2 linked regions of the Danio rerio genome follow. The protein of the gene in region 1 interacts with the protein of each later gene in a pairwise test. Links are inferred from orthologs where the notes say so. Each region holds a gene or a part of one and is shown in the gene's direction. Other genes may lie near its edges.

What was found.
Region 2: the proteins of exoc5 (region 1) and rab14 interact in binary tests that used the Homo sapiens proteins (3 or more experiments, as listed by UniProt). The two-hybrid records come from large-scale screens. The link is inferred for Danio rerio from reciprocal best matches to the Homo sapiens genes EXOC5 and RAB14.

What each region holds. Positions count from the first base shown.
Region 1 is NC_133192.1:49,403,770-49,407,602, reverse strand, and holds part of exoc5 (exocyst complex component 5), read left to right. Parts: intron 1-80; coding exon 81-167; intron 168-249; coding exon 250-358; intron 359-2,283; coding exon 2,284-2,499; intron 2,500-3,833. UniProt on the Homo sapiens protein: Component of the exocyst complex involved in the docking of exocytic vesicles with fusion sites on the plasma membrane.
Region 2 is NC_133180.1:69,331,462-69,335,294, forward strand, and holds the end of rab14 (ras-related protein Rab-14), read left to right. Parts: intron 1-1,226; coding exon 1,227-1,257; intron 1,258-1,355; coding exon 1,356-1,533; 3' UTR 1,534-3,178; downstream 3,179-3,833. Other genes in the region: cntrl (centriolin), read right to left, coding at 3,804-3,833.

The sequences.
Region 1 (3,833 bases):
CCTCTTTGTTTCACTAGCTTCTATCATTTTTTTCCCTGTGACTTTCTTTTTGACATTTGTCTGAACTTTGACTCCTATAGCTCCTCTCCTAAGTTGACGGAGTGCTTGCATAAGAAGAAAGAGGTGATCGAACAAATGGAAGTCAAGCTGGACACTGGGATTGATCGGTTGGTTCAGAGTAATCCTTGACTTCATTGGTGGCACTGAATGAAATTTTAGTGAATTTTACTCAAGTTTCTTTGCTTTCAGGACACTGAATTGCATGATTGGCCAAATGAAGTACATCCTGACCACTGAACAGAAGAAAACCGACTTCAAGCCAGAAGATGAGAACAATGTCATGATACAGTACACTACAGTAAGATCTTAAAATCTTGTTCTGTATAGTAATTTACTCTGAAGAACAGGCAGGGAAATTAAGACTTAAAGGGACGGTTCAACCAAAAATCATGTTATTATTGCTTACCTTCATGTCTTTCCAAACCCCTGAGACCTTTATTTATCTTCAGAACACAAATGAAGATATTTTAGGTGAAATCTGAGCTCTCTAATCTTCCATAGATGGCAGGACTCATTCAGACTCCAGAAAAATATCAAAAACATCCTAAAGACAGATCATATGACTTTGGTGTTTCAATCAGAATATTATCAAGCTACAAGAATACTTTTTTGTGCACATAAAACAAAAAAAATAATTACTGTAGTAGATGTTTTTTTTCTCTTTGGTGTCGGTTTATTGTGCACGTTCATGTCAGCGTCTGTGCTTTGTTTCAAACAGAGTCATTTTTCATAGTTGGGTGAACTAACCCTTTCAGATTATTGTTCAGAGCTGAGCGATATGGAATTGGATTATTTATATAGTATCTGCATAATGTTTGTTGACTTAATCAAGCAACATTTTTGAATTTCCTTAGGAAGGAATGCACTTTGTGTGTATTTATTAACACAAAGTTAAATAAAACTTGGGTCCTTAAATTGAAGCGTTTCTGAACCAAATTCAATTATTCTGTCCCAGGGCTGTACAGTTGATCATTTTAGCATCAATATCTCAATGTGTGAATCCACAATAGTCACATTGCACAACGTAAAATGTGGAGTCATTTCAGTTAACCCATAAAAAGTGAAAGTCTATCAATTGTGTGTGTTTTTAAGACCTGGGAAGGCGTGAGCATTTGTTTGAAAGCATTTGGGAATTATAACATTTTTGCTGTAAAAACTAATTATTTCTGTATCTGAATACTGTTAGACTCCTTATAAATTTTCTATTGTATTATGAATGATTGCAAATAACTTTTATTATTATTATTATTATTAATATTATTATTATTATATAATTTTCTTACTTAACAGGGTGGACATTTTGATATAACATGGTAGAGTATTTGAGGGACAAGCTATTCACCTTATTCTTTGCATATGAGTGAGTGCAGCCATTTGAATCTTTTTTTTCTTGAGACTTCCGGTCTCAATCACTTCCATTCATTTTATTTGTTGAAAACTGCTCGTTATACTACTTGATGTTGCAAACTGATAATTTCCTATCATATTATTCTGTCGGTATAGTCATGCAAACACTTGTTTGTAGAGTAATTAGTTTGACTGTTTTCAGCCGTTTATTATTCGTAGTCATCTCTCCCAAATGAAACTAAATCAGAAGTTCTAAAACAATAGCAAAAACGAGCACACTTAAAAGAAGGTCAATAAACCTTTATTGAATTTATTTAAAAAAAATAAATAAAAAGAAGAGACAATCTGACATGTATTAAAATGCCAATATTTTATTCTGTAAAGGTCAGGTCACAAATTTAAAATTAAAATAAATCATAATGGCCATTTTAGAGCTTGAAAAACTACATGTTTTTATTATTTTTTTTCCACCAAAGGATCTGTTCCATCAAATAGTACTTTCCTAACACTTGTGCAGTTAAAGAATTGGTCTAAAAATAAATACAAACATGTGTAAATGTTTTTCATCGATTTCTTTTGAATTGCAAATAAATGCAAAAATTAGATTTTACTCAAACGCATAACTATAAATTGCAAATCCTGTGTGTCAAAATAACTAAAACTACATGTTAAAAAAAGGTTAAACTGGTGTCACATAACCTCATTTTGGTGTATTGTCAACAACATGTCTAATTATAATGTTTGATTAATATTTCTGTACAAAACCATTTTAAAAATATGAAATCAGGGCTGAGAAAATTGTTCAGACCTAGGGATGAAGGTCATGCCTGATTATCCTGTGTTTAATACACCATCTTTTCTGTGCTCTTTTTCAAGGCATGCTCAAAGGTGTGCGCCTATGTGGGGAAGCAGGTGGAGCGTGTGCGGAGGTCCATGGATGGTAAGAATGTAGACACTGTTTTGACGGAGCTGGGAGTGCGCTTCCACAGGCTCATCCATGAGCACCTGCAGCAGTTCAGCTACAGCTCCATGGGTGGCATGCTGGCCATCTGTGATGTGGCAGAATACCGCCGCTCTGCCAAAGATTTCCGGGTAAGGACCGGTCAAAGGTCATGCCATTGTGTAAATTTGACCCTTTTATGATTTTAAATAATGAGTTTACCCCAAAATATTAATTCAGTCATTATTAACTTAATCTTATGTTGGTTTATAAGACTTTTGCTAATCTTTAAAACAAGAATGATTACATTTTTAATTATTTGAATTGAAAGAAGTTCCTTCTAAACTTTGACTCTTTAAATAGACTCTTAGAAGAACCACATTTGTGGCCCCACAGAACATTTCAGAACATTTTTTGAAATTATCATTTTTTTAGTGTTAAGAACATATAGAATATAGAATTTTTTAAATAAATTTTGTGGAGTCCTTTGAATTGTAGAGCGTGTTCTGGACCATTAATGCCAATAAAGAAGATTTATTCACTAAAAGTAAGATCTAATAAACATTCAAAAATGATCCATACTGTAAAGACTATATTTTGTAGAGCTACGTAAAGTTGAAGTCAGAATTATTACCCAAAATTTAATAAAAATAATTTACAATTTTTTAAATATTTGCCAAATGATGTTTAACAGAGCAAGGAAATTTTCACATTATGTCTGATAATATTTTTTCTTCTGGAGAAAGTCTTGTTTGTTTTATTTCGGCTTCAATAAAAGCAGTTTTTAATTTTTAAAAAAACAATTTAAGGTCAAAATAATTGGCCCCTTTAAGCTCAATTTGTTTTCGATAGTCTACAGAACAAACCATTGTTATACAATAACTTGCTTAATTACCCTAACCTCCCTAGTTAACCTAATTAACCTAGTTAAGCCTTTAAATGTCACTTTAAGCTGTATAGAAGTGTCTTGAAAAATATTGAGTAAAATATAATTTACTGTCATCATGGCAAAGTTAAAGTAAATCAATTAGAAAGGAGTTATTATATAAAACTATTATGTTTAGAAATGTGTTGGATTTTTATTTTATTTTTATCTCTGTTAAATAGAAATTGGGGAAAAAAATAAACAGGGGAGTAATAGTTCAGGGGGGGTTATAATTCTGACTTCAACTGTATATGTTTTAACTTGAGAGAAGAGATTGAATCAGAACCTGTAAGACAATCTCACGACAATTCATAACATTTTGATGTAGTGGCTGATTCTTATGAATTCATACAATCTTATTAGTACTATTTAGTATGATTTTCACATCCCCAATGACGGTTGGGTTAAGAGGTGGGGTTTGGGTGCCACACCTTCTTTTTAAAATCTTACATTTTTGTACAACTGAATTCGAACAAATTAGTCACTAAACTGACAAAACATAAAATAGTTCAGTTTCCTCGTGAGATCAGGGTACAACCAAGTCATTTCTGGGAAGGTTTT
Region 2 (3,833 bases), on another chromosome or scaffold:
GAGTACGTCTGTTTGTAAAGCATACAGCATCTGCTGTTAAAACTAAACTCTTAAATCAATTCAAGAGAGAAAAGCGATGCACTTTGAAAATCTCAGAGTCAAATTGTTGATTTATTTTTAACAAGAACTAATATTTAAAAATTCAAGACATTTTAAGACAGACCTGTTATTAATTGATTGTATATGCTTTTGTTTAACTCATACTTGCGCATCATTTCAACTTCATTTTAAAATGTTTAATAACAGAAATTAAGGAGAAAACTACATTACCCAGAAAATTCCATGCATGGTTTCCGCTACATTCATTCTTCCATGCTGGGGCACCACTCCAAAATTGATCCGCTATTGCTACATTGCAACTTTTCATTCAAAACATTCAGTCATGTTTTTTAAATGATAATCTAATAATTGCACCAAAACGTATTAAAAGGTAAGTGAATTATAACAGGGCAAACTTTTCTGTAACTGTAGTAGTGCTGTGCATCATTTCTTTAACCCTTTAAGATTACGTGCTGACTGACAGGTGCATGATGCGTGAGACCAGCAAACACAACGTATAACCATTTCGCATTACTTCAGGACGCATTAATATCGCTCTGTTGGTCTATTGGAGACATTTATAAATATTCCCAGCAAATCTAATAAATCTTGAAGACATACTTGTTACATAAATGCATTAAATCACACTTTAGCAGCGTTTATTTGAGAGCGCACAAGAAGATCTGCGCTTGAGCAGTGTATATTTGAGGGGGCGCGCAATAATTTTGTATATGAACAATGGAAATCGGCGCGCAAGCAAAGAGATTCGCATGCTCGTAGGCTATTACATAAATGCGATCGCGACATTTGTCATTGAAATAACGCCACAGGTAGTTGGTAGATCTGTGTAAAAGAGGCCTGCCACCACAGCTGGAAAAAAATCCAAGAGGAAACACTGCCACGGTCACAAAGTTGAATGTGATTCCTCTCATAGCTGGTTGGTTTAGTTCATAACACAAAACAGACTTTTTGTATTATATTAATGGGGAAAATACTTTGTACTGTAAAGTAGATGTGGTCTTAATTATAAGAGAAATATGAACAGGCTCTTCTAGTCAAAAAGGTGGAGTTCCACTAGTTATTCATTTAATGTTTCACTAACTTGAGCACAAGCTTGCTTGTTGCTAAATAAAATTAACTACAAGGCTAAAACGTTTAACTGTGGCATTTTTAATCTTTTGAAACAGGTTTGTTGTTCCTTGAGGCAAGTGCAAAAACGTAAGTGACTTTCAGACCATCTGCTGTCAGAGCCTCCTCTCTTTATCTGTCATAATATCCTTCACATTCTAGCTCATCTTTGCGTGTCTGTTCAACAGAGGCGAGAATGTGGAGGATGCTTTTCTGGAAGCTGCCAAGAAGATCTACCAGAACATTCAGGACGGCAGCCTGGACCTGAACGCAGCCGAGTCAGGGGTCCAGCACAAGCCCACCGCCCCGCAGGGAGGGCGGCTCAGCAGCGACGCACAGCCCCAGAAAGAGGGCTGCAGCTGTTAATGACCATGGAGACTTCTCTCTCTATCTCTCTCTCTCTGCTCCTTCCTCTCCCACAAATCCCACCTGTATCTAAAGCCTCTCCCCCCCGCAGTGTGATTGCTCGCAGAGGCCTGACGGCTCTGTGTGATGGAGGTGTAACATAATTCATTCACTCATTCCTTCCTTACCGCTCTCTTCTTTTCCCTTCTTCTCCTGTCTCCTTCCCTCACTTGTTTTGCTTGTTTCTCATACACGCACACATCCCAGTGCTCCCAGCAAGCACTCGAGGGAGGACGGCGGCTCCTCTGCTGAACACTAATCCTAAAGAGAGAAGATGATTGTCGATAAACTGAAGAGATGCTGGGTTTATCCTTTTACAGACGTGGTGATGTGCATAACTATAAACTAAACCATCTCAATGTACAGGAGCTGTCTGAATACTAGCGTAATGTAAACCAAACATTGGCAAACCTTATTCATGATGTCACAGGTGATCAGAGGACATGCGTCAACACTGTATGTAACATTGTTTTTGTTAAACAACAACGATGACGAAAATCTATAACTAAACTATTGTATTCTGTTTTAAATTAGTTTTGTTTCTTTCCAGTTTCACATTCAATCACCAAATATTTATCCCTGTTTGTACCTATTCAGGAAGTAATATACATGTAATATACAAGATTAGTATTGTTTTGAGAGGAATTCCAATGGGACGGTCCATTGTAAAACAAACAAAAAAAAGGTCGATTCAGACAGTTATTTTAACCTAGTAACTGTTAGAGTAATATATTGAAGAGGACAGGATGATTTTTAGGTCGTGAAGAATGTTTTCCGGACTTTGCAGTTTTGATTTGGTTTTTCCTGAGGGTCTGGAGCTTGTTTTGTGTTTATTATAGTCTTAAGTCTGTCCAGCTTTCAGATCTCCTGTTTTCGAGCAGCTTTAAAAATCAAAGCAGCTTAAGAAGCAGACCGACAGGAGAATATTCCAGATTCAGGCCCTCGTCATATCAACACATTCACGTTGTTTTTACATTGATGATTTCAGTTGCCTTATGATTTGCTTTTGTTCACTCTGATGTGCTGCCCGTTTTACTCACGATGAAAGTTTTATCGAATGAATTCCAGCGATTTTTGCCTTTCATATGCATTCCATTAAACCGATTTCCAAACACTGATCATGTTTTCCGCTGAGCTGAGTTTCTTAAGCATGATGCATGGCTTTTTACAGGCATCAGGGTTCCCCCTTCCCTATAGGGAGTCATGAACGCCCTATAATCTATGAATATGTAACAAATTTGCCACCATAGCATGAGAAACATCATTATGGAGAAACTCGGCCCACAAACTTACCACCACAACTACAATGGGCTGATGCGTCAACCAGTTTGGTTCTCCATAGAGGCACATTTGCAATGAACAGATACAAAGGCAAAAACCCGAGCACTCCAAATTTGATTTCTTTTCTATTCAGATTTGTGGTAGATTTTAGGTGTGTTTTGTAAACTGAGAATCCACTTTTAATTTGCTCCTGTTGTCTTGCTTTATTTTTTTTCACATCTTAATGACATCTGCGAAAATTAATCTGCTCTTGAACTCAAGTTTGTCTTCTGTAAGTGACTTTTTCTTTGTAATTATGTTAATAAAAACAATACTGTATACTGTGTTTCTCTCCGCACACTATTGATCCGCACTTGTGTATGAGCAATAACGACATATGATACAGCTCGACGAGAAGATAGAAAACTCATTGTATTGCACATATCTGAATACAAAGTGTATATAAAGAAGTGCTGTAATAAATACTCTGCATATCTTGGCATTGGATACACGTTAATTTGTGACAACAATGTAAAAATGAACATTGATTCCGAAGGGCATTCGGGGTTTTGTCCCCGCAGTTCACAATGAGTGTTACGATAAGGTGAAACCCGAAACCTTCCTTCAAGTGTCCGTTTCACCTGTAAACACTCAGAACACCCACTACTTTACCATGAGCAAGCAGTTCAAAGGCACACTTTTGTAAAAAAAAAATATTTCACAAGGCACCAAATCAGAGGTAGAGAATAAACTTCCATCTTCATTTTACCTCAGGTTTCAGCTTCCCTATTTGTAGCGGGAAATCGACGGTCAACTATTTTCTTTTTTAAGCTGTAGTATATCCAGCCTCAGTGCTCTTTCTGGTACCTGCAGAATCAAACTGCTCCTCTGACTGCATCTCCTTTCATAATCTGACAGAAATAATGGGACTTTTTCCTTTCATGTATGTGAAGTAAAGTGCTAATGAATGCTTATTTCAATTCAAAAGGATCAGCGGACCA